7 linked regions of the Callithrix jacchus genome follow. The protein of the gene in region 1 interacts with the protein of each later gene in a biochemical or structural test. Links are inferred from orthologs where the notes say so. Each region holds a gene or a part of one and is shown on either strand. Other genes may lie near its edges. The genes, in order: DLG1, GUCY1A2, KCNJ2, VANGL1, CTNND2, FRMPD4 and ADGRA2.

What was found.
Region 2: the proteins of DLG1 (region 1) and GUCY1A2 interact in a test that uses a peptide from one of them, tested with the Homo sapiens proteins (2 studies listed by IntAct, with this or other methods). The link is inferred for Callithrix jacchus from reciprocal best matches to the Homo sapiens genes DLG1 and GUCY1A2.
Region 3: the proteins of DLG1 (region 1) and KCNJ2 form a complex in vitro, tested with the Homo sapiens proteins (2 studies listed by BioGRID and IntAct, with this or other methods). The link is inferred for Callithrix jacchus from reciprocal best matches to the Homo sapiens genes DLG1 and KCNJ2.
Region 4: the proteins of DLG1 (region 1) and VANGL1 interact in a test that uses a peptide from one of them, tested with the Homo sapiens proteins (2 studies listed by IntAct, with this or other methods). The link is inferred for Callithrix jacchus from reciprocal best matches to the Homo sapiens genes DLG1 and VANGL1.
Region 5: the proteins of DLG1 (region 1) and CTNND2 interact in a test that uses a peptide from one of them, tested with the Homo sapiens proteins (2 studies listed by IntAct, with this or other methods). The link is inferred for Callithrix jacchus from reciprocal best matches to the Homo sapiens genes DLG1 and CTNND2.
Region 6: the proteins of DLG1 (region 1) and FRMPD4 interact in a test that uses a peptide from one of them, tested with the Homo sapiens proteins (2 studies listed by IntAct, with this or other methods). The link is inferred for Callithrix jacchus from reciprocal best matches to the Homo sapiens genes DLG1 and FRMPD4.
Region 7: the proteins of DLG1 (region 1) and ADGRA2 form a complex in vitro, tested with the Homo sapiens proteins (2 studies listed by BioGRID and IntAct, with this or other methods). The link is inferred for Callithrix jacchus from reciprocal best matches to the Homo sapiens genes DLG1 and ADGRA2.

Annotation. Positions count from the first base shown.
Region 1 is NC_133516.1:25,002,723-25,006,529, forward strand, and holds part of DLG1 (disks large homolog 1), read left to right. Parts: intron 1-1,603; coding exon 1,604-1,728; intron 1,729-3,327; coding exon 3,328-3,497; intron 3,498-3,807. UniProt on the Homo sapiens protein: Essential multidomain scaffolding protein required for normal development. Recruits channels, receptors and signaling molecules to discrete plasma membrane domains in polarized cells.
Region 2 is NC_133511.1:6,897,631-6,901,961, reverse strand, and holds the start of GUCY1A2 (guanylate cyclase soluble subunit alpha-2), read left to right. Parts: upstream 1-1,328; 5' UTR 1,329-1,795; coding exon 1,796-2,089; intron 2,090-4,331. UniProt on the Homo sapiens protein: Has guanylyl cyclase on binding to the beta-1 subunit. Isoform 2 acts as a negative regulator of guanylyl cyclase activity as it forms non-functional heterodimers with the beta subunits.
Region 3 is NC_133506.1:126,195,541-126,200,101, forward strand, and holds the start of KCNJ2 (inward rectifier potassium channel 2), read left to right. Parts: upstream 1-1,682; 5' UTR 1,683-1,774; coding exon of another isoform or gene 1,775-2,338; exon of another isoform or gene 2,339-2,343; intron 2,344-4,561. Other genes in the region: uncharacterized protein LOC128932178, read right to left, coding at 1,775-2,338.
Region 4 is NC_133508.1:153,635,404-153,639,769, forward strand, and holds the start of VANGL1 (vang-like protein 1), read left to right. Parts: upstream 1-1,384; 5' UTR 1,385-1,515; intron 1,516-1,639; exon of another isoform or gene 1,640-2,134; intron 2,135-4,366.
Region 5 is NC_133503.1:194,576,291-194,580,097, forward strand, and holds part of CTNND2 (catenin delta-2), read left to right. Parts: intron 1-1,552; coding exon 1,553-1,763; intron 1,764-3,807. UniProt on the Homo sapiens protein: Has a critical role in neuronal development, particularly in the formation and/or maintenance of dendritic spines and synapses. Involved in the regulation of Wnt signaling.
Region 6 is NC_133524.1:12,035,459-12,039,885, forward strand, and holds the start of FRMPD4 (FERM and PDZ domain-containing protein 4), read left to right. Parts: upstream 1-1,345; 5' UTR 1,346-1,619; intron 1,620-4,427. UniProt on the Homo sapiens protein: Positive regulator of dendritic spine morphogenesis and density. Required for the maintenance of excitatory synaptic transmission. Binds phosphatidylinositol 4,5-bisphosphate.
Region 7 is NC_133514.1:38,693,387-38,697,876, reverse strand, and holds the start of ADGRA2 (adhesion G protein-coupled receptor A2), read right to left. Parts: upstream 2,975-4,490; 5' UTR 2,574-2,974; coding exon 2,308-2,573; intron 1-2,307.

The sequences.
Region 1 (3,807 bases):
TAAAAATACAAAAATTAGCCAGGTGTGATGGGACATACCTGTAATCCCAGCTACTTGAGTCAGGAGAATCACTTGAACTCAGGAGGTGGAGGTTGCAGTGAGCCAAGAGTACGTTACTGCACTCCAGCCTGGGTGACAGAGTGAGACTTCATCTCAAAAAAAAAAAAAAGAGAATATTTGCATTCAGTTTTTATTGTATGTTATAATAGTAATGCCACCTTATCTAGCTAACATTTTGTGGAAATTTAGTTTTCCACACAAGCAGATTTCTTAAGTAAGTAAATGTCTGTATGTTCAAGACTAAAATCCTAGATAATTAGATTTGTGTTGGAATCCAAGAAAAATAAATCTGAGAGAATCTTTTACATGTGTATCTTTATTGTCTTCTACTTAAATTCGGATCACCTGCTCAAGTTAGGTAGCTACTGGAGTAACATTCAAGTAAGCACAGTATTAATGTACTGTACATATTTTAATGTAGTGGTTTGTGATGTCTCCTTTTTATTTTATTTATTTTTTTAATCCTTTCCCAGGACCTTTTAAATTCCTTTTGTTTAGTCAGAACTGTACATTGTATTCTTCATTGGTTGAAGAACTTGAGTACCTAAGTAACTTGGTAACCTCCCATCATCCACTGATACTATTGTTAAGATTCAGCTAATTCATGAAGTTAGATTGAAAAACATTTTTTAATGAAGATAGAATTTTAAGACAAATGGTGGTAGAGTGAGTGATGACACTATTTAATACTAACAGCTAAATAATAGGTCCAGATATATTTGCTTACTTGAGTTGCCTGAAATCCAGTTAAAACATTCTTGCAGATATAAATATTTTTCAATACCATTGCTTAAATCAATTATTTTTAAAGACTTTTTGTGGCAGTTGAAACCTTACTGTGAAGCAGAAATCTAGTTTCTCCAGTTCATAAAATAAGAAAAAGTAGGGCTGCTTTGGCAAAATTTTACTTTGCTATCAAGAAAATTCACCAATGTTAAGTTCTCAGGTTGGAGTTTCAGTATTAAAAAATACCTTTCGTTCATCAGGTATATTGGTTAAACATGTGAAGGATTGAGGCAGCTAGCACATAGCATCTACAATTTGGTCATTTAAAAATAAGCTGATGGCAAGTTAGCAGAAGAAAAACACCATCGCCTCCCCCTTTTTTAAAGGCTAAAAAAAATATTGATTTTACCTATTCAGAAATAACAGCAGGAAGATCTCTTTAGCATTTGTCTCTTAATAGAGATGTGCCCTACCAAACATGGCTGAGGTGCAGTCTAAAAGAAACAGACTTATAGTGACATCTCTGCAGATGGGTGACTAATCCAAGGGCAAGCTGCGCATACTTTTAAAGAAAAAACTGTGCAGTAGACTTCAAAAGTCCTTGGTATGTTTTCTTGAACCTCACCTGCTCAGCAGGTAATGCCTCTGAAGGACTTTCCTTCAGAACATGTCCATTTAATTTAGAATCTTTATATTACACATATACCTTTATTTGTTGTGTTCCTTACATTAGTACAGTTTCTGCATCCTTTAATGACAGAAACCTGTCAACAAAGAGAAATCATATTCATGTCAATTTTTTTTCTTCTATCCTCAGGGAAATTCAGGGCTTGGTTTTAGCATTGCAGGAGGTACGGACAACCCACACATTGGAGATGACTCAAGTATTTTCATTACCAAAATTATCACAGGGGGAGCAGCTGCCCAAGATGGAAGACTGCGGTATGCTTTGCACTTTATTTTGTGATGCCGAATCTACTTTGTGTATTTTTCTTGAAGCAGACTGGACAGGGATAAATAGAAATAACAACACTATCATAGTAACTAACATAGGGTAGATGCTTTAACAACATGCAAGTCAGTGAATGAGATAATTACGTCTAAGCATTGTTTTCCTGTTTTCATTTAGGAGTCCTGTTTTTTTTTATCTTAGATATTATAACATTTTGAATAATAAATTTGGTTGATGGTTGAAATGTTTGTGAACATTCTATAAATAAAATTCTATAAATGTTTATTTATAGAAATCATGAATTTCCCTTTGTATTTTCAAATACACTCACAAAATATTTTCCATTTCCTCTATGGTTGGGAAGCATGTATATAAACTTATTTAAGATATGGAGGATAGAGGATCACACATCCATGTTGTATCCCACACCACAAAGAGTAAAGTATATGCAAACTTTAAATAATATATTTTCTTAATTGAATAGATGAAAATAACATTTGTCTCTGTTTAAATTTAGTGTTCCATTTTGGAAGATATATTTTGCAAACTTTGGTTTCTTGGCGGGGGGGGTGGGGCGGGTCATAAATTATGGCATTTTTCCTATTTCCTTGTTGTTAAAATAGCCTGAAGTCTTAGGACAGAAGAGTTTATATAGTCTGTTAAAAACAGCATCTTATTTTAAGGCTGTTGGTACATTATGCAGTTTTTCAGTTTCTAAGCTTCTCACTGAATACGACAGGTGGTATATTAATGAAATAAAATAGATATAAAAATTAATCATTTGACCATTCATAAAAATGTAGACATTTGCTTCCTGATTCTGTTAATTAGATATAGAAATTTGTCATGACCAGCTTTAATATTTTAATTATGTTTTGTTTACCCTCTCTATCCAATTTGAGATGACCATCTTTCTTTCCAGATGAAATACCACGTAATCACAGGGACCAGAACTAGGGAAAAGGCTAAGACTAGGAACAAATCAAACTTTAATACCATGGCAAATTATAAGTTCTTTACCTAAGAAACCTTTGAACTAAGTGACCTAATTTTCAACTTTATACAAATTTCAAAAAATAACTTTGTTTTTTTAAGTCTAGTATGTAGGTTGGAAATTGCACTCAAAAAATTATTTTTAGGCTGGGCGTGGTGGCTCATGCCTATAATCCCAGCACTATGGGAGGCCAAGGTGGGTGGATCATGAGGTCAAGAGATCGAGACCATCCTGGTCAACAAGGTGAAAACCCGTCTCTACTAAAAATCCAAAAATTAGCTGGGCATGGTGGTGTGCGACTGTAGTCTCAGCTACTCGGGAGGCTGAGGCCGGAGAATTGCTTGAACCCAGAAGGCGGAGGTTGCGGTGAGCCGAGATCATGCCATTGCACTCCAGTCTGGGTAACAAGAGCGAAACTCCGTCTCAAAAAAAAAATTATTTTTAGTTTATCTCAGTTTTCACACTATCTCTGTGATCTTAAACTCATTACTCAGACTATTTGAGCATCAGTTTTCTTATCTTTGAATCACAGCTCTGTCACTGTTATCTGGGTGGCCTTAGGAAAGTTACTTTAAATATTTAATTGTTTTCCCAGGGTCAATGACTGTATATTACGAGTAAATGAAGTAGATGTTCGTGATGTAACACATAGCAAAGCTGTTGAAGCCTTGAAAGAAGCGGGGTCTATCGTACGCTTGTATGTAAAAAGACGGAAACCAGTATCAGAAAAAATAATGGAAATAAAGCTCATTAAAGGTCCTAAAGGTATGTGGTAAGTCAAACTAAGATAAATCTTTAAGTAAGAAATCTCTGAGTTAAATATACCTATGAACTTTATCCGTGACATACATTCCAAGGTTAACAATATTAGTGATATTCCACAGAACTTGAGAGGATTTTTAATTTCTCTGTTATCTCTACTGATTTTCATCTTAAATAGAATTTTAGAATATTTGCATTTCTACCAAGATTGCAGTATTTGAAAAGTTCCTATGCTTAGGGTTTTTTTGTTTGTTTGTTTTTTGAGGCAGGGTTTTGCCCTGTCACCCTGGCTGGAGTGCAGTGGTGCAGTCAT
Region 2 (4,331 bases), on another chromosome or scaffold:
GTTACAGCACAGGTTTTATGGTTTTGTTTTGATTTTTAAACACACACAGTCCACACAAACCCATCTGTCTTCACATGAAAGGACCCGTTCTTTGGAAAAAATGCTTTGGCTTCAGATTCACTGGGGAGCTAAAGCCAGAGACCCTGAACTTTTCTCTACGCTGATGGGGGGAGCTGGGGAGGGTGCTTATCTACTTTAATCTACTTTATTGCAGGGGGAAGTACAGCCTGGGACCCCTCTTTGGGGATGCTGTCATTTGCCCCTTCTTCCCATCCTTTATTCTATCCTCAGAACCAGTATGAGGCTTTTCTGGGACTAAGGCAAGGTACAGTGGGGTCAGGCGCTGGAAGGACTGGTTTGCAAAGAGAAGCTTTGGAATGAAGCCGCACAGCTGAAAGCGCGCGACGAGATGCCTGCGCTGTGGCGAGTCAGTTCTCCGGCTGCGCGAAGCCTTTATCCCGACTCCTCTTAGCTTTCTGAGCAGCGTTTGCAGTCAAGTGCAAACAGATCGCATATTCGGTGCAAAGAGCCCTGAGGATGATGGATGTGGGATCGTTCCCCGGTTTCCCCGGGCCAGGTGCTAGACGGTTTGAGGAGGAACTGTTCTCCACTTCTCCACGCCTGCAAACGGCTGGAGGGGGCAAGCGGAGCTGTCCAGCACTAGTGAGGGGCCGGCGCAGCCGCGAGCCCCGCGCACAGCACCAGGCTGAGGCTCAGCCACGGCGCTCTCGCCAGAGCAGACGCTGTCCTCGCTGCCGCCCCGTTCTGGGCTCGCTCTGCGCCCACGCGGCCTCGCAAGAGGCGGTGAACGCAAGTCTCCAGGAGCTGCTCCAGCAGCATGGGCGCCAACATGTTGCCCCCGTCCTTCCCTTCCCGTGTAAGCGTCTCCTCTGGAATGGGCTGGCTGCACGCTTGGCCTTTCCCTTTCGCCTTGTAACTTCCTAAATAAACTCGGAGAAAGGACAGCATGAACCCTAACCTGCACTTCACACTGTCAGGCTTCCCCGAGGTGGCCCTAGGGGGAGGCCTGTCCCCCCCATCCCCGAACCCTTCTCTCCACCAGCGCCGCCAGAGCCGGTGTATTCCTCAGGGCCCAGGATAAGGCGTCTGGGGATTGCGGTCCCTCCGTCCGAACCAAGCTGCTGTGCGCACCTCCTCGGAGCAGGGAGGGCGCGCAGAGGACAGCGACCAAGTGTCCTCGTTGCTCCTGAAACGTGGCGACAGGCGAGGCAGAGACTCCCAATGAGTATGATGGCGACACGTGATAGTGGCGGAGGGAGAGCATGGGGGGGCGGGAGATAAAGGGAGAAGGAGGGAGGCGGGCAAGTGGAGAGAGGCGGGAGGAGAGGGGCGGGAGCAGTGAGGGAAAGGGGGCGAGCGAGGCGCGCAGGCGGCACCAGCCTCTGCCTCCCCGTCTGCCTGGGCCGCAGCCCTCCCCGCCCCGCCGGCCGCGGTCACACACTTGGAGCCTCCCCGGGAGCGGGAGCGCGGTGCACGGCGATGCGCCGAGGCGGGCGCTGAGCGGCGCCGCTTGAGCAGCAGCAGAGGCGGCGGCGGCCCCCAGCCCAGCGCGGCGCTGCCGCCGAGCCCGGGCCCCAAGGTGCGGGAGCACCCCAAGTTCCCGCCATGAGCAGCTGGCTTGGGGGGCTCCGCGGCCCCGGGGGCTCCCTCCCCGCCGAGCGCGACCACAGCGCCCCGGGGCTCCGACGCGCGTAACGCTGCCCCCGGCGGGTCCCGCCACCGCCGCCGCCCGTGTCCCCGCCGCCGCCTCGGCCGTTGCAGCGCCGCCCGCAGCATGTCTCGGAGGAAGATTTCGTCCGAATCCTTCAGCTCCTTGGGGTCCGACTACCTGGAGACGAGCCCGGAGGAGGAGGGGGAGTGCCCCCTGTCCAGGCTCTGCTGGAACGGCAGCCGGAGCCCGCCCGGGCCGCCCGAGCCCAGCGCGGCCGCCGCCGCCGCCGCCGCCCCAGCCCCGGCCGCTTCTGCCGCCGCCGCCGCCGCCACGGCCGGGGCCAGGAGGGTGCAGCGCCGGAGGCGGGTTAACCTGGACTCGCTGGGCGAGAGCATCAGCCGCCTGACAGCGCCCTCGGTGAGCAGGGGCCGGAAGGGGGGACTGCCTTCTTGGGAGAGGACACGGATCCGTAAAGTTGGCGCCGGGTGAGCCGGGCGCGAGTGCAGAGCCCGACCGCTTGGGGGCGGCCCGGCCTCCCCCCACCCCGCCCGGCCCCGGGTTCCAGCGGCTCTGGGCTGCAGCAGCTCTCCTAGGCTAGGGTGGAAGTGGAGACTAGAGCGGTGAGAAGTAAGATTCCACTCCTTTGGGGTCTCCTGATTCGGGGGCCCGTCTGCCCACCTCCAGCCTTGAACCCCGCTTTCCCACTGTTCCCCCTGGACAGCCCCAGTGCTGCTTCACACCCACCTGTTTTCTGTCCCCCAAACTTTCCCAGGCACTGTGTTCTACAGTTCGGATCCCCTGTCTTTCATCCTGTTCTCGAGCATCCCAAAGGAGCCCCAACCCCTTCCAGGAAACCCTTCCTCTCCTTATTTCCCACACTCTCTTGGTCTCAGCGTGACCTTCCTTGACATCTCGGAATCCCACAGGCTATCTGCATTCTGTGTTACATCCTTTTCCTCAGATCTTCAGACACGTTTTGCCAGATACTTTTCTGAGTTGCCTTCTGATGAAGGAATCTCAATTCTCGAGTTCTCCCAACCCCATAGCTATTTTTTTTTCTTTTTTCTTTTTTACTTATCCGCTAAGCATTTATTCTTTTCTGGATAAAACTGGTGTCTGGTTTTCTTCTCCTCTTTTTTTAAACTTTAATTTAATTTTAAGTCCCAGGATCCATGTGCAGGATGTGCAGGTTTGTTACATAGGCACAAAATGTGTGCCGTGGTGGTTTGCTACACCTACCAACCCGTCTCCTAGGTACGAAGCCACACCTGCATGAGCTATTTAAACTGCGCTATACTTCTTGCACCTGTACCTCATCCTTTACCATCTCTTCAATGGATTCCCTAGTGCTTTCTCTCTCATTTTTTGATGGATTCTTTATACTAGGCTCTTCCTGAATATTTACGGAGAGAATAAATGCCTTCCTAGACCTCTCCAACTTGTGCTCATCTCGGGATGTCTGTATTAGCAGGTTCAGGTGTGCACCAAACTCCCCCTGGTCGTAGGCATCCTTCGAGAGTACTCCTGCCTCATTCCCACCCAGGCATTTCAGCTACCCTTGGCTTTTACCTCTTGCTGGAATGCCAGACCTCTGGTCCAGTTTTTCCCTGTCTGGGTGAGCTCTGTTTTGAAGGAATGCATTCTACTGCAGACAGAATTTGAAAAGGACTCAGTGTCAATCTTCCTCAGTCTCATCTTTTATCCTCACCCTGACCTTGGATACAAGAGCTTTAACTCTTCCTGACAGCACTTTTACCTACTCGCCCCTAGGACTTTTACATTCAGAGTTTCCAGAATGAATCTGAACATTGATCTTGTTTGATTACTGTTGAGTCTCTCTTTTGAGGTTACTACTGCAGTTGATGGTGGGAGGGACCGAAGAAGGAGTGGGACCCTGAGGGGACTGAGTACTGGTACCGGGCAGTTCTTCAAATATTCTTGTGGCACTTGCATTAATGGAGAATGATGTTTTTCTTTTATGAGACCTTATTTAAGATATATAAATTACTTATTATGTTACTTATTTTGAACTAATTTAGTCATTAGGAACACATTGAGAAAGTCATCTTGCTCTTCTTGTGTATTTTCCTATTTGATATATCTTTCTGCCACTTTTTCTTTATTGATAACCTAGAAAACAATCCTCAGGATAGGTTGGGTTTCTTTTTGCTGTTCTTACCTGCCAATATTTCCCAGGCAATGTAATTTTATGAATTATTTGGTGTGGCAAATTGTTGAATATAAGTCTTTATAACAGGAGTCCAGTGACCCCGAGCATCTGTAGGCTTTTGTCAGTACCTAAAGCAACATTTGTGCAATGTGATAGTTATTCAGTACAACAGATTCTTATTTAATGAAATGATTTTGCTAAATATAATGATGAGTTTGTGATTAGTTTGGGGAGAATTGTTGATATAACCTTGGAGTGATTTTTTTTTAACTAAGAATTAGAATTTACAAATTTCTAAAAAGTAATGGCAATGCCTCTGTAATGCTAATTTAAACTAAGACTATTTTCAACAACTTACATGAGGAGTAGATAAGAGAAACTGAGAACTGAAGTATTTTCTGCCTGAACAAGAGGGAGGAAGTAATCTCTGATAGTTACTTTTATAAATCAAATTTAAATGACTCTGGCTTTTTGCTGGATGAAAATAAT
Region 3 (4,561 bases), on another chromosome or scaffold:
AGCATTGGCACACAGGAATTTTCCTAATAGGGACATGATGAAAAGTCATTTATTAATTAAAATGCATTTATATTTCCTTTTAAAAAAACAAAGCAATAGAGTTATTCAATGCTACCATGCATTTAGAAAATTTCACTTGCAAAATTTAATCCTTCATACTTCCTTATTTAGCTAAGTAATTAAGATAATGATTCTACTAAGATTGGAAAGTTGGAATTCAAATCATCAATTTTTCCCGAAACTTCTCCTTCAAGAAATAAGCCTTGCTGCACAACCTTTAGTCCCCTGGGAGGAGAGAAGTTGGGGATGTGATGTTGATAATTGATGACAGAGGCCAAGATTTTTCTATCATATGAAACTATCTTGGCCTGTGGTGTATTCATTCTATTTAGAATAGAAGACTAAAGCAAAATCATTTCAATCCAAGCTGCATAAAAATGGCATCCTTTTCCGAGTGAGTGACTGGTTTTCAAAGAGAGCTCATTACCTGGAACAACAAGAGCAAAGAAAGTGTTGCCTCTCTGAATTCATACGGTTTGGAAAATTCTTAGCCATCTGCAGATGCACCAACTGAATCATAATAAAGAAGAAAAAAATCTGTAAGTGATTAATTTTCTTTTTCCATTTGGGCTTAACGTGTTTTAAGGTATAATTAAACTTTTGGTCTGTTTCTTAGAAGTCCAGGAGGAAGCATATGTCAGAAGAAGCTTATTGAACTGAGCTGTTAACTCGTCCATTATCCTTCGGTTAATCTAGAGTTAACTTGTCAATCCTCAGGTTCTTTTAGCTTTAGGGTACAGTCTAGGTTCTTAACATCCATCTACTTTACAGTGTTAATTCAAGCTGTTTATAAATAACACATAACTAAATAAACGTTAAATTAGACCTCCCTTAGGGCAGGCATTATTCCCAAATGCAACAGAGTTGGTACCAGGGCTTGGTGAACAGCATAATCTCAATAAATTAACAGGAACCACATCGCCATTTGGCTTTCAGAGCAGCCACACTGAGTGCTTCGTCTATTTCACACCCTTTTAATTTAAGTACCTTGCTCAGTGCTAAGAGGCACACTCCATAAGGCAGGATTAAGTGCGTATCTGCAAAACCTAAGCAACCATATTTCACCAGCACCTCCTAGGGGCCACGTGTGGATATGAGGCTGGGAGGTGGGGACGCGCGCAGAACCTTTTCTTGAATTGTCAGTTCACCTCTCCTACACACGGAAATCCACCCCGACTGCGCCGTCCACGATACCAGCTAGTCTGCCGAATTAGTTTAGCGACTCAATGAGGCCTGTAGAGGTTTAAATAAACTGCACAAACGATACATTTGATCGCTCGAGGAAATAAACATTTTTAAAAACTTAGTGGAAGGAAAGGCTCCTACATATATCCTGTTCTTTAGGAGCAAAGCTTAGTTAGGACACCGAAGTACTCAGAAATAATATGCACTTACTCTTCGATTTACACACACACACACACACACACACACAAAAACCACACGGATTAGTTTATAAAGTTCCAGGATCCAGACCCGGTTAACACTCAAGTTGCTTTTTAGGGGTCTGCGCACTCTTGCCTGGCTCCGCTGGAAATGAGAGCTGGGAGGCGCTGAGGCGAGGGCAGATCTAAGTGTCTGTAGGAGTAGCTATTCCAGAAAAATCATTACTCTCTAATTGTTCTGATTTTAGATCAGCAAAGCGTGCCGGGCGGTGGTGGAGAGATTGAGGGCGGACAGGGCGAGAGGGAACGAGCCGTCTCCCCTTCAGAGAAGCCTAGGCTCCTTGTAAGTACTTCGCGAACAGTCCGGAGAAGAAACAGCCGAGCGGCGCTGTAGGGGCCACACTTGCGCGCGTCTCAGTCCCTGGGGCTCTGCGCGCCCGTCCCAGCCACTCGCCCCATTGACTTAGCGGCCTCTCCGGGCGCAGCAGCCTCGGCTGGGGGCTTCCAAGGGCCGCCGTGGGGGCTCCGGCAGAGAGGCAGGGGAGAGGGAGACGCGCCGGGGCCGACGAGCAGTCCTGCCACGGCGGCAAACGTCTCTCCCCGGCGCTGGCACCTCGCAGGCCCCCTCGAGGAGCACGCAGGGCACAGCGCTCCCGCGAGGAGGGGAACCGGGAAGTGCGTGGGGCTCGAGACGGGGTAGGAAGCTTTGCCCAAGGCCAGGCTGCAATCAGGCAGCCGCAACGGCCGGGCGCGGAGCGTCCCACCTGCTGCTGTCCCAGCTGGGCCACAACTTCCTCCTCCCAGGCCGGAGCCCGACTCCCCGGCCGGCGGGGCTCCGAGGGTGGAGGGGGAGGAGGCGGCGGCAGGTTCCCTCCGCTGGCAACGCCTCGAAGCATCCTCCCCTCCCCGCCGCGGTTCCCGGGGCCGGCCGCGCGGCCAGGAGCGCTGCGATTGGCCGGCAGCGGCCGGGGGCGGGGCCAGGAGAGCCGGTGTCGCACGGACCGCCTCAAAAGAGCCCAGGATATTGCAGAGCGCACTGGAGCCCTGGCCAGCGCGCAGCCTTCCCGGCGCCGGCAGGCTGGGTCTTGGGAATTCTGGTTAGCTTTGGCTCACTCGCTCTTTACAAACTACTGGATCTTACATGCCTCTGTACCCCCCACTTCCACTCCATGTCCCCATGCTCCTGCGCCAGCAACAGGTAAGGGCTGCTGTGTTTTCTTCCTTTTCGCTCGTTGCCTGTGTGTCCTGGGGAATGGACTCTGGCCGCCGTCCCCTACCCTACCCTGCCCCGCTGCTCCAGAGGTGCCCAGCTGTCACACTGCTGTAGCGCTCACCCACGCTCCGGAGTCCCAGATCATGCCTATATAGTTTGTGTGCGCACCAGAACATCCCCAGAGCTAAAAATACTGAGACATGCTTGGAACAGTTGAGCAATAGAAACAGATTTCTCTGCAGCATCTGTTTGTGCTCATAACTTCCAATGCACCAGCTGTAGCGAGATACTGGGTTTGGAGGCAAGGGCGAGAGTCTGTGTTCGGTTCTCACTCTAAGAAAAAAAAAGGTGGGAGGGAATTTGGTTTGGGGGTACGTCTCGAGCTTTGGTCTTAAAGCTTGGCAAACCTTGGGACTCAGCACTATTTTTGATCCTTGGCTTTTTTTTTTTTTTTTTCTTTTTCCGTCATTGCTTCAAGTATAGCTGTGAGTTTCAAACAGAGTAAGTGTCTCAAAGTTGCCTTCCTGGAAGAAGAGCGGGAGCTTGAGTTGGGTTTGAGCCTGAGGATCGCAAAACTTTCACATTATATATCACTCTCCCCTAACCAATTTGTTGTGTTTAGTAATAATGGCATTAATACCTAGCTTGAAGACAGTGTGGTTTTAGGGACGCAAAGTAGTCAAAACGACTTGATTCTGCAAAAAGATTGCATCATAGCATGGATTCATTATGACAATTGGAAAAAAAATTAAGGATATGAAATGGGCAGTTTAATGTCTGTGTTTGGGTAAGGATATCAGCAGGATGATCACTAGGATCAGGCTGTGAATTCTGGGGATTTTCTTAAATTCAGAGTTTACCTGTTAGGAAATAAGGTGTTATTTGAAAACCTGTTTTGGATATGCAAAGAATCCACATTGCGTTTTACCATTTGTTTTCTTTTCACATTAATAATCAATGGACTGCCAGATTTCCTCTTGCCAACCACTGTTGTGTGTCTGCTGTACATTATCTGTACACTTGTTAGCGTTTTCCTGCTCACTTCCAAATGTTTTATTTGTATTTGCCATTATCTGGAAAAATCCTGGTGCTCTGAAGGGGTAAGAGAGGTTAATTGAAGCATGGTGGAAAGGGTGAGAATAAGGTCAAGGTCATTTTACTTAGCTTTCTTCCCTCCTCTCTCATATTTTGATGACATTTTATTTTTTAATGTTCTTGGTCTCCATAAGAAATATTTTATCTAAACTCTCATGAATTTGGCGTAGAAAAATAAAAGAACACAGTCTTTCTACATCCTTCGGACTCTTCAGTTACAGAATCGCTAGTTAGCTGTAGTGTCCTTATGTGACTTTTGCATAACCTGAAAGATTGACAACAACTACCTGCACAGATTGATTTTTAACCATATATTTTTGTTTACCAGACATGTCTATTTTTCAGCATATGCAAATACTGAGCCATGCTACAAGCCAAGCGTGGTTGAGTATAAATGTCGGACATGGGACTCAGGTAGATAGATAGGTATCCCCCCTCCCCTCCCAACTTTCCCCTCCTCCTCCCTTATGTTTATTGAGCTTCTAAGAGGTTGCTTTCCTAGCAGTTGTGCTCACATAGCAACATGTGCCCACAGCACACTCAGGCTGGTCTATATGGCGTCAGCTGGGGAATAGCTGTTCTAAACAGTCATTAGGAGACCTCTCAGCCCAGTACATTTTCTTTTGCTATCTTTATTTCCTATCCTTAGAAACTTTCTTATTCATTACACACCATGACCACATTACAGGACACATTTATTCTTATTTGATTTTTTTAAGTTATTTATAAGCCTATTGGAAGCATTACCTATATAGTCAAAACAATTTAGATCCCCCATTTGTACCACGCGATCTCCTTGACCTTATATTTA
Region 4 (4,366 bases), on another chromosome or scaffold:
ATACTCCTGCAGACAACTCTTAAGAAATTCAGCACTTCTTTCAGAAAATCAAGCACCGCATGTTCTCACTCACAGGCAGGTGTTGAGCAATGAGAACACATGGACACGGGGTGGGGGGGCCATCACACACACGGGTCTGTGTGGGGAAACTAGGGGAGGGACAGTGGGGGATGGGGAGTTGGGGAGGGATAATATGGGGAGAAATGCCAGATATAGGTGATGGGGAGGAAGGCAGCGAACCACATTGCCATGTATGTACCTACGCAACAATCTTGCATGTTCTTCACATTTACCCCAAAACCTAAAATGCAATAAAATATATATTTAAAGAAAAAAAAAGAAATTCGGCACTTCATTATACACTGCTTCCACTGGAAAGTCCTGCCTGGAATGGAGATGATCCGTGAGGAGCCCTAATGCTACCAACACAATACAACTAAGAAAAGTGCAAATATTCCTGAAAAGCGTTGCCAACTGTTTTGTAACACTCACCACAATCCTGCAAGGCGGGCATCGGCATTCTCTCCACTTTTCAGACAGAGAAACAAAGGCTCAGAGAGGGAAGTGTACCTGGTTGGAATCTGCACTGAAGCTTCAGCCACCTGCTTGCAGAGATGTGCTCATCTAGCAGTTTCTGAGAGCCTGCTCTGATAGGGGACGGGAGAGGAGAGGCTTGCTGTGGTGGTTTGTAGGTTTGTAGGGTGCGTGTATGAGCCTGTGTGTTTGGGTGTGAGCGCACGTGTGGCTATTTGTGGAGTCATTTAATGAGTTATTTCCAGGGCTCCATGTGTGTTTAAGTGTGTGTATATGGGTTGAGATGTGGTGTATATGGACATTTGTGAGTCAGTTCTTGGAATGTGCGTATATGAGTGTGTTGAGTGGGGTTGGGGGATTAATCCCTGAGCCGTGTGAATATGTGGGTTGGGGCGCTGCTGAGGGCAAATGGACTTGAATTTTGTGTATGATTGTGTGTGTGTGTGCGTATGTGCTTGAGATTCCAGATATGTTGGAGGGTGGGTCTCGGGGTGGGGGGAGACCAATCCCTGGACCTTGTGTTAATAGTGCCCATATCTGCCCCAAAGAGGGTGGGTTACTGGGCTGTGCTGTCTGTGTAGAGTGTGAGTGTGTGTATGAGGGTGAATGTGTGTGTGGAGTGTCATTCCCCGGGTCCTGTGCACGAGTGTGACAGTGCACGCCTCCGTGTGTGTCCCGGGTGTGTGGGGTCGGGGCGGTGACCAAGGGAGGGGGACGCCCGCGGACCGGGCCCCGCCCTGCGCTGCAGGTGGGCCGGGCCCGCGGCGGGGCCGGCAGCGCTCGCTGCTCTTGGCTCGCGGCCGCGCCGGGCTCGCAGGGCTGGGCTCGGGCTGCGGGGCGGCGCCGGGACAGGAAGCGGAAAGCAGCAGTGCAGCGGCGGCGGCGGGGCTCTGCCTCTCCAGGAGCCCAGCGCAGGCCGCAGAGCCGGGGCCGCTGTGAGCCAAGACCGCGGGCCGCGGAGCCCGGGCGGCCGGCGCGGAGGTGAGTCCCGCGAGAGACCCACGCGGCGCGGCGGCGGCGGCCCCGCGGACAGACCTTTGGCAGGGAGACGCCCCCACCCGGGACCCCGCGTGCCCCTGCGCCCTCCTCCCGCACTCGCCCCTCCAGACTTCGACCCCGGGTCTCCGGCTCCCGCTTCAGCCAGCGAGCTCCCTTCCCTCCTGCGGAGCGCTCCGGGTCGCGCTTCCTCCGACTCCACTCTTCCCCGCGCAGTGCGCCCCTCCTGGCTCTGCCGTGCGATCCCCGCCGCGCCCCAGTCCCTGGGGTCCCGGGGTGCCCTGCTCACGCCTCGGACGCCCCTCTCTCCCCTGCCCGGCCTTTGGGTGCGCCCCTCGGGTGCGCGTGCCGGGGCGGCGGGCAGGCCGGCAGGGAGTGGCCGAGCGTTGGAGGCACCGGGCGGCTGCAGCAGCCGTGCAGGGCGGGAGCCGGGCGCGCACCCGGGTTCCCACCCCCGGAGGGGCTCGACCCGGGCACCGACTGGCCCTTCGCCAGGAACCGGGACAGAACTGGTCTGTGTGCACGCCTCGCTCACAAAAAATTGAGCCGGCCCTGGAGGCCTGGGGGGCGAGTCCGGTTGCGCCTCGGAGAGAGCAACAGGCAGGTAGGAGTTTACTTTCAAAAACGCCGGGGTGGAGCCGAGGCGCCCGGCGGGTCTCTGCCCAAGGTGTCCCTGCTGGAGGAAATCTCACCGCGCCGGGGCAGCCTTCGCCACCGGCAGGGTTTCATTTCCTTCTGCAGCCTTTGAACTGCCCAAGCATCCCGCCTGGAGAAGTGTGAAGCTTTATTAAAATTTAAACGCGTCCGTGGTGGCGGCAGGAGTGGGGCGGAGCCGCGGCCTGGCTGCTGGATGATGAGCAGATGAGACTTGGAGTCGAGAAATCTGTTGCTCAGTTTTCACTTCTCCAAACCAGGTGTAATGCCCACCCTGCGAAGGCGTCGTGAGCGCCCTTAGACGCTGCTTAGGAAGTATTGGAGCGCCTTACGATGGTGATTGTGTGGGTGGCCAGTGCATTTTGTTAAAACTCTTGCCCTGGCTTTGGTTAGAAATGAATGTATCTTAGACTCTTAGTTTAAAAGCTAACAAACTGTGAAGAATCTGGCATTTTCACTGACATGTTTATAAATTTTACAGGGTTGCTGAAAAATATTATTACTTATATCACCAATCAACAATGATAATTAGCATTCTCCTTTCAGTGGGTGGGTTGAGTACACAGCTCCCAGGCTCTGTAAATGAGATGGCAGAAATTGCCTGAATACAGGGAGAGGTAATTAGCCATTTTCTGTAACCACTAATTACAGAGTTTTTAGAGTTGAATTAAATCGATGTGATATAGTTGGGGCTTTGATTTGTGGGAGGAAACTGTTTCTTTTTCCAGTTCAAAGAAATAACACGCTTCACCTATCCGTGAGCATTAAACATTCCGAAACGTTGCTGTCTCTGTGTAATTAGTGAAAACACTCTGGGTGAAAGTTCACTGTTAACAATGTTGGCAGTGAGGCTTGCTTGCAACTGCATTTGTAAGTAAAATGGGAGAAGAATTTTGAGAGTGACATATTTGTAAAGACTACTTGCCAAGCAGTACATTCTTATTGTCTTATGTATGAAGTAACAGGACAAAACCATAAAGGAAATTTAAAGTTTCTTTACCAAGCACCAATTCCATGTCACCCTTTGTTGAAGGATAAATGTGCTGAATGAAGAAGGCATCCTCCTTGTTATCATCCCCTTAACACACACACACACACACACACACACACACACCGTTCTTGCTGTCCTAGGCTTTATCACCTATTTGGGTGGGATGGGCCCTTATCACATTATGTTTTAATTGCAGGTCTCCACACTGGGGCTGTGAGCTCCTTAGGAGTTGGAACTATTTTAGATTCATTTCTTTTCTTTTGAGTGCCCCACAATGCTTGGGACACAGAACCTGTGAGTAGAAGTTGAAATTGCAAAATTATTTGTGGGGTTATATGTAGTTTGGGACAATTTATGATTGTTGCTTATACTCCTCTATAGAAATAAGCCATTCTGGTAATTGCTGCAATGCTGTAAATTTTCTGTAGCTAAGAGCACAGGTTCTGGAGTTAGACTCTCATCGTTCAAGCCCTGGCTCCAGTGTGTCGGTTTGGTTTCCCTAACTAACATGATACTAATGTTTTCTTTTCCTTGAAGTCTTGTGATGAGGATTAAGCGAGATATTACATGTGAGTGACTTAAAACAGCATCCAACACATAGTAAACACTTGACAACCATAAACTGTTAGACTATTACCATCATCTCGGTAAAGTCAGCTAGCTGGTTAGGGTCTTGTTGTATAGGGCATGTGATTTGGGCATCGTGCTATTCTATTTTCCTTAAGATGGACAAAATGAGGTGGGCTTGTAATTGGACTGTGTTTCTGTTAGCATATTGGTCCCTCTGAAATTTGGTGCAAGGCTATATGTGGGTTCTGCTGTCTCTAGCAGTGTCCTTTTGAATCCCACTATAGAAACAGCAGTGATTAGACCCCATACCATCAAATTTACAGAGGAGGTAGTACTCACGAGATCTATTTTTCTGAAGTTTGAGTATCTGGCAGGGGACAAGGGAGTCACTTGCAAACAAATATACATCACAGAACTGCAGATGTGTTAACAATTCACAGCTCTTCAGAAATCTGTACCCAGCTGCTGGAGGTGTTTCAGGGTAATTAATGACTGGAGAGAGAAGTGATTCTGGCAAGGTGAGTTGAACTCATTGGTGAAACAAGTAAAACGAAGTAGATATTTTCTTTCCTTGTAAATAATGACCCAGAATCATTCATTTATAAGCTGTTGTAATAAAAG
Region 5 (3,807 bases), on another chromosome or scaffold:
TGATTTGTGGGGGTTAATGAACTGATAGAATCTCCAGCATGCTGAGCTCTACGAAAGTAAACTCTTAACCAGAGTTAAGCCTGATTTAATGATAAATAGATAAACTATTTTAGGTGCTGTCATTAGAAAATAAATATGCTCCATTTGGGGGGTTTGCAGGCAAACCATTTTTGTCAGACACTTCCTCAGCTATCATCAAGTGAATGAACACACTTTTCTATTTCAGTAATTTAAGCATCAGCATTTTCTCTCTAAGCTAAAATAAGCCACCTAAACATAGGATAAGAGCAGATACCAAAATTACAAGGGCCTGTGTTTTATGTATCACTGCCTGGAATGAAGATATCACTGCCTGCTCCCACAAGGTTCCCTTTTGCTGCCAGGCACCATGCACCTGAGAATTCAATAGCAGAAGAAGATATTATTTACAGATCTAAATGAAGGTGAAATATTTCATATAGCTTTTAGGAGCTAGCTAAATATGCCCCATTGAGGGATGGGACACAAGAAAGGGATCTAACTTGAGGCACTTGCCAATTACATCTGAAAAATGTGAGAACAGCCAGCTTTGCTACAGGCACTCATTTACTAACTTCCAGAAGTAAATTAAAGGAGCAGAAATGGCAGCTACAGGTGGGATAAATTGTCTGCAGTGTTATTGGTAATGCCTAAAGTGCTTTGTAAACTAAAAGTACTCCATAAATATGTCATTATAAGTACCTTTATCATTGGGAATAGTCAGATTAACAATGCTAAAGTGAATTAAGGAAGCAGAATTGGATTTTATTATATTTTTCGCACAAAACACACCAAATTAGTAAGGGTTACATGGTAGAACTACACAATAAAATACCATCAGAGAGACAAACAGCGTCAGGTTACTGTAGTTCAAAGGACACATAGTTACAGACTGTCAAGTGCCTCTCTCCTGCTTTCCATGTTTCTCTTTGCTTTAAAGGAATCAAAACTCGGGACTCATATATGTGATCATGTTCTCCACACATTAGTGCTTTGACTGTTGTTAAAAAATACAGGTTCTGACATAGCTTTCATTAAGGTATTTTTGAGGGTTATGTTAGAGTTTCCGTACATTTTTCTTGACTTCTATAAACATCAAGCAAGAACATAATCACACCTAACACCTATTGAGTCCTGTGTCCTTGTTCACCCCCATGTGTTAAATACGTTCCATACATTCACTCATTTATGCCTTACAGCAACCTTGTATGTATGGTAGATACCATTATTGTCTTGCTTTAGAGACTGAAAAAACTGAGGCTTAAGAGGCATGAAATAACTTGCCCATGAAATAACACGCTTTGATCCCAGGTCAGTCTAGCAGCAGAGTGCATGCACCGCCATGAGGAATGACTGCTTTTTCTCTGTAGCTGCGTCCAAAGTTACCCAATAGAGAACGTGCAGTGGTGGGAAACAAACAATATTGCATAAACAGGGCCTCTTGTATTCTCTTCTCCCCCATACCCACCTCTGCCACTGCCTTCTGCCTTCACCTTGACCTCCTTTCAAGTATTCTCTTTATTTTCTTTTCCAGGCAAATACGCCATGCGAGACCTAGTCCACAGACTTCCAGGTGGGAACAACAGCAACAGCACGGCAAGCAAGGCCATGTCGGATGACACAGTGACAGCCGTCTGCTGCACCCTGCACGAAGTTATTACCAAGAACATGGAGAACGCCAAGGCCTTACGGGATGCTGGTGGCATCGAGAAGTTGGTCGGCATCTCCAAAAGCAAAGGAGATAAGTAAGTTACCTGGTGACGTCATATCTCTGTCCTGGTAAAACTGGTTCTGAATGTGCCTTTCAACTATGATTGTCACCGAAGGCATTTGTCTCTGAGAATCAAGAGAAGGAAAATGGCAAATGGTTTCCAGTCTTCTCTCTCTCGATTTTTTTTATCTTGAATTTTTTTTTATACTTTAAGTTCTGAGGTACATTTGCAGAATGTGCAGGTTTGTCACATAGGTATACTCGTGCCATGGTGGTTTGCTGCATCCATCCCCCCATCATCTACATTAGACATTTCTCCTAGTGTTATCCCTCCCCAATCCCCCCACCTCTATTCCTCCCCCAGCCCCCCATCCCCCAACATGCGTGATGTTCCCCTCCCTGTGTCCATGTGTTCTACCATTTGACCCAGCAATCCCAGTGTTCTCTCTTACTGTTGGTAAAGTGGACTTGACAAACCAGCACACCCAGGTGCTCCTTCCACCTGGAAGAGACATGAGTTCGACCCAGATATGTGGAAGTGTTTTGTTGTTGTTGTTCCTCTGTGGTGGGAAGTCCATGTGTTGATGATGTCTCTTCATCCTTCTGCTCTTTGCCTCTTTAGCTCTGTGACCAGGTCAGGTCCACTTTACCAACATCACAGCAGCCGCCAAGTCATAGCAAGTCACATGCAGGAAGGATGAGGGAGGAGACAAGGTGTGATGGAGTCAGAGAACTCAGCTCTAATCCAGTACCCTCCCTTACAAGCTCTGAGATATGGGGCAGATATTTAATTTAATAAGTCACTACGCCTATACTTTCCAATCTAAACCCAATGGAGAGGCTATCACAATATGCTAGCTGGTCAAATCTTAAAGAATGAGTAGAAATGTCCCAGGCAAAGGGGATAGTGGTGAGAAAGGAGGGCCTTCACGCAGGTAGAACAAAAAGAGATAGGACTTGGTGTCAAAGCAACTGCACCTCCTTGAATAGGAATGTCCCCCCAGCCCAGTTTTTAAGAACCAACAGTATCTTACTATATACAGCCAGAAAACAGCTTCACAAGGCAGCCCATCAGTATATCAGTAAGGTGTCAATTTTACAGAAACCTTCACTAACCTTAATTAAATTTTGCCTCTTGGAAGTTATTCCATGTGATCAAATAAGATCGAAAGGGTAAACATTTTGTTATCAAGAGTCTATTTCCTGACTTTTCATTCCCTGCCAAGCAACCCCTCCCCGTCCTTTTACATCTAAATGCTAAATAATTTTTCTTTTGTTATTAAACACTTTGAGGGATGCACTTTAAGACTTTCTGGAAATTCTGTCTCATTATTTCACTTGATTCAGGATATCACCAACGTATTATAGAAGATTCAGAATTTCTGTTTCAGCACTTGGAGACCTCCAGATAGGCTCAATCAACTATTTTGCATTTGGATTTGAATGTTTTCTTCTATCAAGTAGAGAACCCCCACTGGACTCATATAATAATTGCACAGTATAGATTGTTGGCTTGAATTATGTCTTATGCTATTGTACTTACAATACAATACTATACTATGCAGGCAGGAAACGATGTGGTTTTTTTCTGTATTTACCTTCTGTAGCCCTTCGCAATCTCTAATTGAAGTGCTTACCTGTTTTGAGCATTAAGAGTTTAATATGGTAATGCTCTTTTGAGCATACACACCCACACACACAATGAAACCACTGTCTGCAAAACAATCTATTTTTGTCTATATTTGTGAGACATTCAAAGATTAAAGTATTTTCTCTGAATTATACAGTTAGAGAGCTTTGAGGAGTGGTTTGGCGTGTATTAATTCTCTCCCACTGTATGAGCAGCCCTACAGCAATAAGCATCACTAAATGGGCCTAAAAGAGGGAAAAAAATGTTTTATTGAGCCCTATGGTCAAAGAAAGTTATTTGGTGAAACTAATTGAAAACTCACTCGAGGAAACCGTCTATGAAATGATACATATCCATGTTGCTAAGGTCCTGATAAGCCAGGGCCAATCTTGATTATTGTTAATGGGAAGATTTTTTTCACTACAGATGATCTCATAAATGCCCTTGA
Region 6 (4,427 bases), on another chromosome or scaffold:
TATCTAAGGGTGCTTTTGTTCTACAAGGGCAGAACTGAGTCATGGTGACAGAGAGTGCATGGCCTGCAAAACATAAAATATTTGCTATGTCACTCTTTACAGAAAAAGTTTGCCAACCACTGCTCTAGTCTGTGTTTTATAGTTTCCCAGCTGGATTGAGTCCCAGTTGTCCTCAATACTGACTTCCTTGATAACATACATTCTTTTGCCTTCTTTCCTTTTCCTGTCTTGTTTTCTCATCTACCTTTGCTTCTTAGATGTTTTCCCATATAAACTACCCATACTTACATTATTGACCCAAGGTTGACTTCTAGGGGTACCCAACTGCTGTGGTTTGAATGTGTTCCCTAAAGTTGGTATGATAGAAAATTGATTCCCAATGTGGAGATGTTAGGTAAGGCCTACGGGGAGGTGTTTGAGTCATGGGGTACCACCCTTAGGAATGCATTAATGCCATTATTGTGGAAGCTGGCTCATTAATATAGTAGTGGGCTCCTATTTGTAGTAGAGGGCTGCTTACAAACATATGACTTTGGCCCCCTCTTTCTCTCTCTTTTACCCTTTCTTGCTTATCTGCCATGTGATGATGCAGCATGAAGGCCCTTGTCAAATATGCTGGTCCCTTGATCGTGGACTTTTCAGCCTTCAGAAATGTGATAATAGATTTCTGTTTATTATAAATTATCCAGTCTCAGGTATTCTGTTATGGCAGCACAAAATGGACTAAGAAGCAAACCTACACAGTCATCATGTCTTTGTCCTAATCCTGCTCCTACGACTCACTAGAAGTGACCCTAGAACGTATCAGCTTCAGAACATTGGTTAAGCTACTGGCCCCTATTCCCCACCCTATCTTTTCTGCAGCACCTTATGAAAATTCAACTTTGTGGGCATGAATTTCTCAAATTTGTTTTATCTATCTTACCAAGCACCACCTCAGCACCAGGGGTGATAGAGGAGAGAATGAAGATGGGACAGAGGAAAAAAATTCCATCTTGTCCTACATTTGATGCTCACTTCTTAATACAGCTTGTAAAGCTTATAGCTGATCCCAAGGTGTCAATGTATCTCAGTCATGGCTGATTGTTTTTCACTGACCTCTGGACCTTTTCAGCCTTGTGGGACATGGCCAAGTCATTGCCCACCCCAACCTTATTGCTGCTGCTTTCGTTTGTTTCTGTCTACCACTTCTAATTACTTAGGTCACTTCAGGCTTTAAATCTATCTTCTAAATTGTGACACAGCCATAATTAGGCCATATGTTAATTAGCAGGATGACACTGTGTGCCTTGTCACTCGTCAGTGATGTAGATCATCCCAGAAAGTGCCATAGAAAGAGGAGTTCAGTGAGAAGAGGAAGTCTAAGGGAGGTTGGAAGTGACTCTTTGCTCAGCAAAAACTGCCTTAGCAGGAGAAAATGGCAATGTGTAAGATGGGGAAAGGATGGGGTCACACAAAGAAAAAGAGCTAGAGTTGACCTCTTTTCCACTCTGGGAATGAGATGTAAGCTAGGAGGCAAGCCTGAGGCTGAGACTCCACCAGGGATGGCAGAATCTTCTGAAGAATTGGAGGTGGTGGCCAGGGCAGAGGTCAAGGTCTTGACGGAGGCCATTGATGAGGTGAGTGTCAGACATGCCCCTATCTTTATTGCCTGGAAGTTTGTGGGGAGGCCAATCAAAAATCAAGGCCAATCTCTGCTTCTATGTATACTTTCAGTGCCCTTTAGGAAATCTAAAAGAGTTGGGTCTGATTGCTTGGGACTGTTTCTATGTGCCAGTTACTCATTTATTTCTGGTTCTTCTTGTTTTCTGTTAACTAAACTTGTTTTCTGATGTTCCTGGCATAGGAAAGTTGAAAAGGAGACTGGATAGGTCATGACTGTTTCCTGTTTCAGATATTGTCACCTTTATCACTCAGGAGACAATTTCTAGGAAACTAATTACTGAGGGAATTCATTATTGGGTGGGATGACATGTGAATTATAAAGATATTAACTTCACTCCAGTTTGCTGTTAACCCATAATGTGATAGAAACCTGTTCTGTTATCACCTAACTAATGGATGCAAGGGACTAAGGCATTCATTTTAAGTTACATATTTGTTTGGATTTTAGAAAAAGGCATTTGTCACAGGAACTCTCAGAGCATACCAAGGAGACATTTTGAGGGCTAAGTTTATGCTAATAATAATAATTATTATTTATTGCTAATATTAGTTGAGTTCCTCCTATATTTCAAACCTTTACAGGCATTACTTCTAACACACCTACAATTCAAGAAAAGTATCATTATCCCATTTAACCTGAGGCTTACAGACATTGGATCATGCTCAAAGATCACACTGCCAGCTGAGACAAAACTGAAATCTATATTTCTTTTCTTTTCTTTTTTAAATTCTAAAATTTGAGCTCTTGTCATTTCCAGATAATAGATATTTTCAGCTTTGCCAGCCATACGGTATGTATTGCAGCTACTCACAAAGGCAGCCATAGACAATTTGTAAATGAATGAATGTGGCTATATTCCAATAAAGCTTTATTTACAGACACTAAAATCAGAATTGAATATAATTTGCACATGTCATGAATTATTATTGTTCCTTGGGTTTCTTTTCAACTGCATAAAAATGGTAAAATCATTCTGTTCACAGGCCATATAAAAATAGGTGGCAACCCAGGTTTGGCCCACTGGCCAAAACCTGCTCATCCTTGCATTGTACAAATCTGCCTTTCTAACAACTTACAAAAATAATGAAGTGAAAGCAACTGAGCTACATATTTTACCTAAGGGAGCCAAGCCAAATATGCTGATGCTTATGGGACCATAGTTCTTATTCTAGCTCTACCATCAAATTAAATGTATAGGATTAGGCATGTCTTAAAAGCTTTCCCAGATGAGGTTCCTAACAGCTCCACTATTCTTTCATATTAATCATAGTTTGACTGTACCAAATGATTTCCATAAAATCACAATTTGAATCTAAGGTGACAAATTGGGTGGGGCTATCAGCAATATGGGGAAGACTGGGGAAAGAGTAGGTGTGGGGGTAACTTCAAGAGTTTAACTGTGAACCAGTTAAATTTGGGGCACATAATAGACATAAGTGGGAACAGTTGAATATAGAAATCTGGAATTCGGAGAGATGGCAGGACTTGATATTGAAATTTGGGAGTCAACATTAGCATGTAGACTGAATCTGAGTACATAATGGCATCTTTTAGGGCAGGTTGGTTATTGACCTTTGAGGTGGGGTAATTCTTCATTGTAGGGACTGTCCTGTACATTGTAGGACGTTGAGCAGCATCCCTAGCCTCTAAATGTTGATAGCACATTCCCCTCAGTTGTGACAGCCCCAAATATCTCGAGACACTGCCAAACGTCCCCTGGGGTGAAAGTTATCCTTGGTTGAGAATCACTGTTTTAGGCTGAGAATGGTCCTTCACTACTACAACTTTGGAAATCAGAAAGAGGATGAGAAAATGGGAAAAGAGACCAAGAAGGAAGAGTCAGTAAGTAGAAAAATTCATATGCTGGGTCCCAACTATCTAGACTAGACTTGGTTTAACATTTGTTGAAAGCCAGAGGTGAAGGGTGGGCAAGAGGCAATGCTCCAGAGATCAGGGCTGAGCCACAGTGAGCCCCACCATATTTTGTCGATGGGATTTCCAGTAGTGGTTAAAGGGATGGGGTAAACCAGGCTCTAAATGCGCGGAACCTGGGGGTGATGCAATGGACAGGCTGTTTTCTAGTAGGGAATGGTTAAAAAAAATAGATGGTTAAAAATAACATTGGGAAACCAAAGATAGAGACCTTTACGTGTTTCTTTTTCTTTCTTATTTTATTTTTAGAAATAACTCTCAGAGGATAAAACTGTTATGGTCTGGGTGAAGGAAAAAAACAAGAATAGAAATAGTTTCTATGGTTCTTGAGGAAAAGCAAAAGTACTTAAGAGATGCGGTTTTTAGCATCCTGAGCTGCAGGATGTGATGTGGGGGGTGTGTGTGTGTGTGTGTGTGTGTGTGTGTGTGTGTCTAATTGTAGTAAAAAATAGTGAACAGATTGTGTGAACTCTCTCTTTATACATTTGAAAATTGAAGAGCTATGGCTTGACAAAGGCTCAATATAAAGGTTAAAAAATTTAATCCCTCATATTGAAATTAATGTCATTAAACAAGTGTGCCTCCTAGTCACATGATAATAAATATACCAAAAGAAAAGGAAATGTCTGCTTTTTCCTTTTAAGTCTTCTCACATCAAAATGAGGGTAATAAATTTACCTTATAAGGTTATGTAGAAGTGCTTTTCAATGTTTAATACTTAGTTGGACTTCTGCAAATGTTTAAAAATAGTAACAATATGTATCCTGATAGTGGTGGTGGTTGCACAAATTTAGACATGTTATACAATTTTATAGAACTATATACACTG
Region 7 (4,490 bases), on another chromosome or scaffold:
TTGTTGTTCTTAGAGGGCTGTCAGCTATAGCTCTTCCCGATGGGGAGGAGACGGATCATCCCCTTTCAGCCCCTACATAGACCTTCTCCTGTTCCTTCCCTCGAGATACATCCTGGGGTGGGCATGGGGGTGCTGGAGGGACTGAGCTTAAGGAAGGAACCCTTGCCCAGCTTCAGCTGAAGGAGAGCATGGGTTCTTTTTCTTTCCAAAGACAGCTAGTGGGGGGTGGGCGTGGGGGTGCCATGAGGATGAGGATTATGTGGATCCTGGCGGAAGAGCTAAGCAGTAAGTCTGTGACTGAGGATTCCATTACCCTCCAGGCTGAAGGTCCCTTGGACTCTCCAGGGCGTCCCTGGCCTTGCCCTGTCTGTGTCCCTGTGGGGAATCCAGAGCCAGGCTTGAAGGCTGCTCTTTAAAGGATATCCTGTCCTAAGCCAGTGGGTCAGTGGCCTGGGAGGGTTTGGGATGGGAGGGTGAACTAGGGGTCACCTTTGCTGCCACCCGGTTCTTATGCATTTTTACCAAGAGTTGGCCCCACTCTCTCCTTGAAGTGGTGTGGATGGGAATGAACCATGGCCTGATCATTTTAAGATGTACTGCAAAACCGACTTTCTATCCATCCCCTCTACCCCCCCTCCCCCAGCCATTTCCTTTTGCCTTTGATATGTTAGGATTCCCTAACCCTGACACAGAAACGCAGAGAATGCGCATCCCACAAATGTGCATAAGCAGACACTGGAGTGTGCACACATGCACGCCCAGATCTCAGTTCTGAATTATTATGCAGCTGGGACTCAAGGCAGACACGACCGACTATTCCTCAGAGCAAGCGTTTTTCTCCTCCAGAACTGAGTGGGCTGGGGAATGCCCAGGCCTGCCTGGACCCTCAGACCCCAGCGGACACTCAGAGAGAGCAGCCCTGAACAGCCACAGGTGCCTTTCCTGGCCACTTAGCCCTGAGCAGCCGGAGGCGGGAGCGAGCAAACACACCGCCTCCACCCCTAAGGCACACACAGGCACACACACATACACCCGGGCTGGGGAAAATGCAGGCCGGGCGGCCAGCGTCAGAGGTTGACCAGTTGTGTCCTGTCAGGAAGCGGGCAGTCTCTGAACTCACCCAACCAGAGGCGTTACTGTATTGTTCTGGACACAATCGAAAAGACTGGGCCAGCCGGGACTCCGGGCAAGGGGCGGTGGAGAAACGGTTGCCACTGGGGTTAGGAGGACAGGGAAAGGGAAGCGGCTCTTAGGCTCGATTTGGGACAGGAAAGGAAACGGCGGCCGCGGACGCCCGACCCTCAAGTCCACGGCGTGCGTGGAGCTGCGAGCACGTGGCCGGCGCAGGAAACCTCTGCGGCTGGGAGGGGTCGCCAATGCTCGCGCAGCTGCTGGAACTTGCGACCCCGTTGGAGGAGGCTTGGGGTCGGGTTGCGGCGCCACCGCGCTCGCTGCCAGCAAAGCAAGGGCGTACTGAGGCCCTGACTGAGAGAGAAGTCGCGGGATGAGGCCGGGGTGGGCGGCGGTGGGGGGATCCCGCTTCCCCAGCCTCTTTTCTTTCTTGGCAATCTTTGCGCGAAGTCAATCAAGAAACAGCCAGAGCTCGAGTTATTTCCGGGGGGGGGGCAAAGAAGAGGCAGGGACGCGGGACCCAGCACAGAGCTCACCGCACAAACGGCGCCGTGGGAGAGGGGCCCTAGAACTAGCGGGACGCCAGGGTCTCCCGCAGCCCAGAAGCGCCCGCATTCCAAGGGCCGACTTTCCCGAGCCCAGCCTCCCCTTGCTCTAAAGAGACCGGTGGGAAGCGGCGCTGGCATGGCAGGGGGTATGGATGGGATGACCCCAATGGGAGGGACAAGGCCAGGCGGGTAAATCCAGAGACTCCTCCAGCCGGATTCCGGACGCGTCCGCAGTGGTTAGGAACACAGCCCCGTCCTGGGCCACGGGTGTCCATCTTTCCTAAGCCTTCCCCGCTCTCACCTTTCTCAGGTCTTAAAGTCCGCAACCCTAGTCCAGTCTGGAACCCGGGGCGTGGGTGCCCTACAGGCGTGCACTCCATTTCACCTGTGCAGGTGAGTGGGCGCCTTCGGTGCCTCTATCAGGGGCGCGCCTGCCCCCCGCAGCCGCTTCCCGCCTCCGCACTCCAGGAGCCCCAGTCTCCCCGCTGCTCCTCCAACCCTCCCCTCCCGGCGCCTGAATCTCTGAAGTGGGGGTATCGCCCCCTTCCCCCTGCTCCCGCCCCTCTCGTCTCGCTGCCCCTAGTCCCCCGTCCCAGCTCGGGCCGAGCTGGCCTGATAGGGTACTCACAGGGTAACGGTGCCGTTAGGCAGAAGGCCAGGCTCGGGAGGCTCCGGGAGGTCTCCGCCACCACACACCACCCTCCTGCGTGCCGGGCCGGGGGCGCCGCCGCTCAGCCCCTTGGGCCGCTCCCCCGAGCACTTGCAGCTGCGGATGTGGAGCGGGCAGCCGGGCGCGCCCCGAGCCTCGGGCGCCAGGAGCAGGAGGAGCCACGGCAGCAGCGGCAGCAGCAGGCGCGCGGGCGCCCCCCGCATCCTGCGTCCCCCGGCGCCCATCAACCCATCTCCCCGCGGGGACCCACAGCGCTGGGGCCGGGCTGCGCGCCGGCCGGAGGGACCCAGGCGTGCGGGAGGCGTGCTTAGCGGGGAGCCGGGGCGCCCGAGGACCGGGCGGGGGGCCCTGGGCGGAGGCGAGCCCGGGGGTCCCCACCGCCGCGCCCCGGGGGCATCTCCGGCGAGCGCCCCGGCGGGGAGGACGCTGGCGCAGCTGTCAGCTCAGCGCGGGCGGCCCCCGGCGGCGCGGCCCGAGTCTCAGCGCCCGGCCCTCGGCCCGGTGGAGGCCCGGCCCCTCCGCGTCGCCTGCTTGCTGGGCGCTGGGCTGGGACCTAGCGGATCGCGCCGGGCTTCTGCTGCCGCCGCCGCTGCCGCCGCTCCGTGCCATGGATGGAGGCAGCTCCGCGCCGCGCCGCTCCCGCCGCCGGCCCCCGCCCTCCCGGGCCTTCCGCGGGGCCCTAGCGCCGTCTGACTAGCGGCCAGGCCGAGGCCCTCGGCCGAGTGGGGGCGGGCCAGCTGGCTCCAGGACCCTGCGTCCCCGCGCCCGCCCCGAACCAAAACACTCCTCTCCCGCTCATCCCCGTCCCCGGGCCCATCTTAGACCTCTGAGCCTGCCACCACGACCTTCCACAAAACCTCCCTCGCCTGTGCTGGTGCAGCCTGCACCCCCAGGCTGCTGGGGCCCTCCTGGACCCGCGGGCTTGGGCAGAGACATCTGGGTGCCCTGTTTTGGGTTGAACTTGGTGCTCTGCTCTGAGGTTTCCCTTGGCTCCTGACGCGATGGTCAGTCTGGAAGTTGGCTCTCACTCTCCCTCCAGCTCCGGTGAAGGCCGCCGCAGGAGGTTGGCAGCCAAGACGAAGGAGGCAGCAGACCCTCCTCCGCTGCAGTGACCTCGCTCAGCTGGGGTGCCTGTCCTTCGGCCAAGGAGAGGTCAAAGGCCAAGGCAGACAAGGCTGGATTGTGCCTCCTACATTTTCCACAAAGCTGTGTGTGAGTGTGTGTGCGTGCGTGTGTGTGTGAGAATGTATGCATGAGTGTGTGTGCATGTGTGTGACAGAATATGTGTGTGTGTGTGTGTGTGTGTGTGTGTACACGCGTTTTGGGAACAGTGAGTGGGAACAAGGGAACAGTAGATGAAGAGGAGCAGGGCTTTGCAGCAGGGTGTGGAAAGAGCACTGCGCAGGGATCTGGAGATCCCTATTCCAGACTTTGCTTTGCCTCTTATTACTGTCTGACCGTGGAGGCAGCCCCCAGCTTGCTGGCATAGCTGATCTCTGGGATTGAAATGGGGCTCTGCCTGGTCCCCAGTTTATTGTGGCATTAGAAGGAGAGAGTGTGGTGGGGAGGAGGAGCACGTGGTTTCCAAAGGCAGAGGACTGGTGGCCTTGGTAGGCATGACCTTGACAGCTAGTGGTGGGTATAAAGCTGTCTGCAGGCCCTGCAGTGGCTCACACCTGTAATCCCAGCACTTTTGGAGGCCAAGGCGGGCGGTTCACTTGAGGTGAGGAGTTTGAGATCAGCCTGGCCACCATGGTTAAACCCTGTCCTTACTAAAAATGCAAAAATTAGCTGGCTGTGGCGGCGGGCACCTGTAATCCCAGCTACTTGGGACGCTGAGGCACGAGAATCGTTTGAACCCAGGAGGTGTAGGTTGCAGTGAGCTTAGAACGTGCCACTAGACTGCAGCCTGGGTAACAAAGAAAGACTCCATCTCAAAAACAAACAAACACATAAATAAATAAAAATGAAAAAATAAAGCTGCCTGCAGTATACAGGAACCAAGGGTGGGGACAGGCAGGAAGAAGTGCAGCCCAGGGGTCTGTTTCCCCACAGAGGCTCACCTTTCTGCTGCTTCAGAGAGCTGCCAGGATGGGGCAGGACTCCTGTTCCCTCTTCTTCACTCCCTGATCCAAGCCATC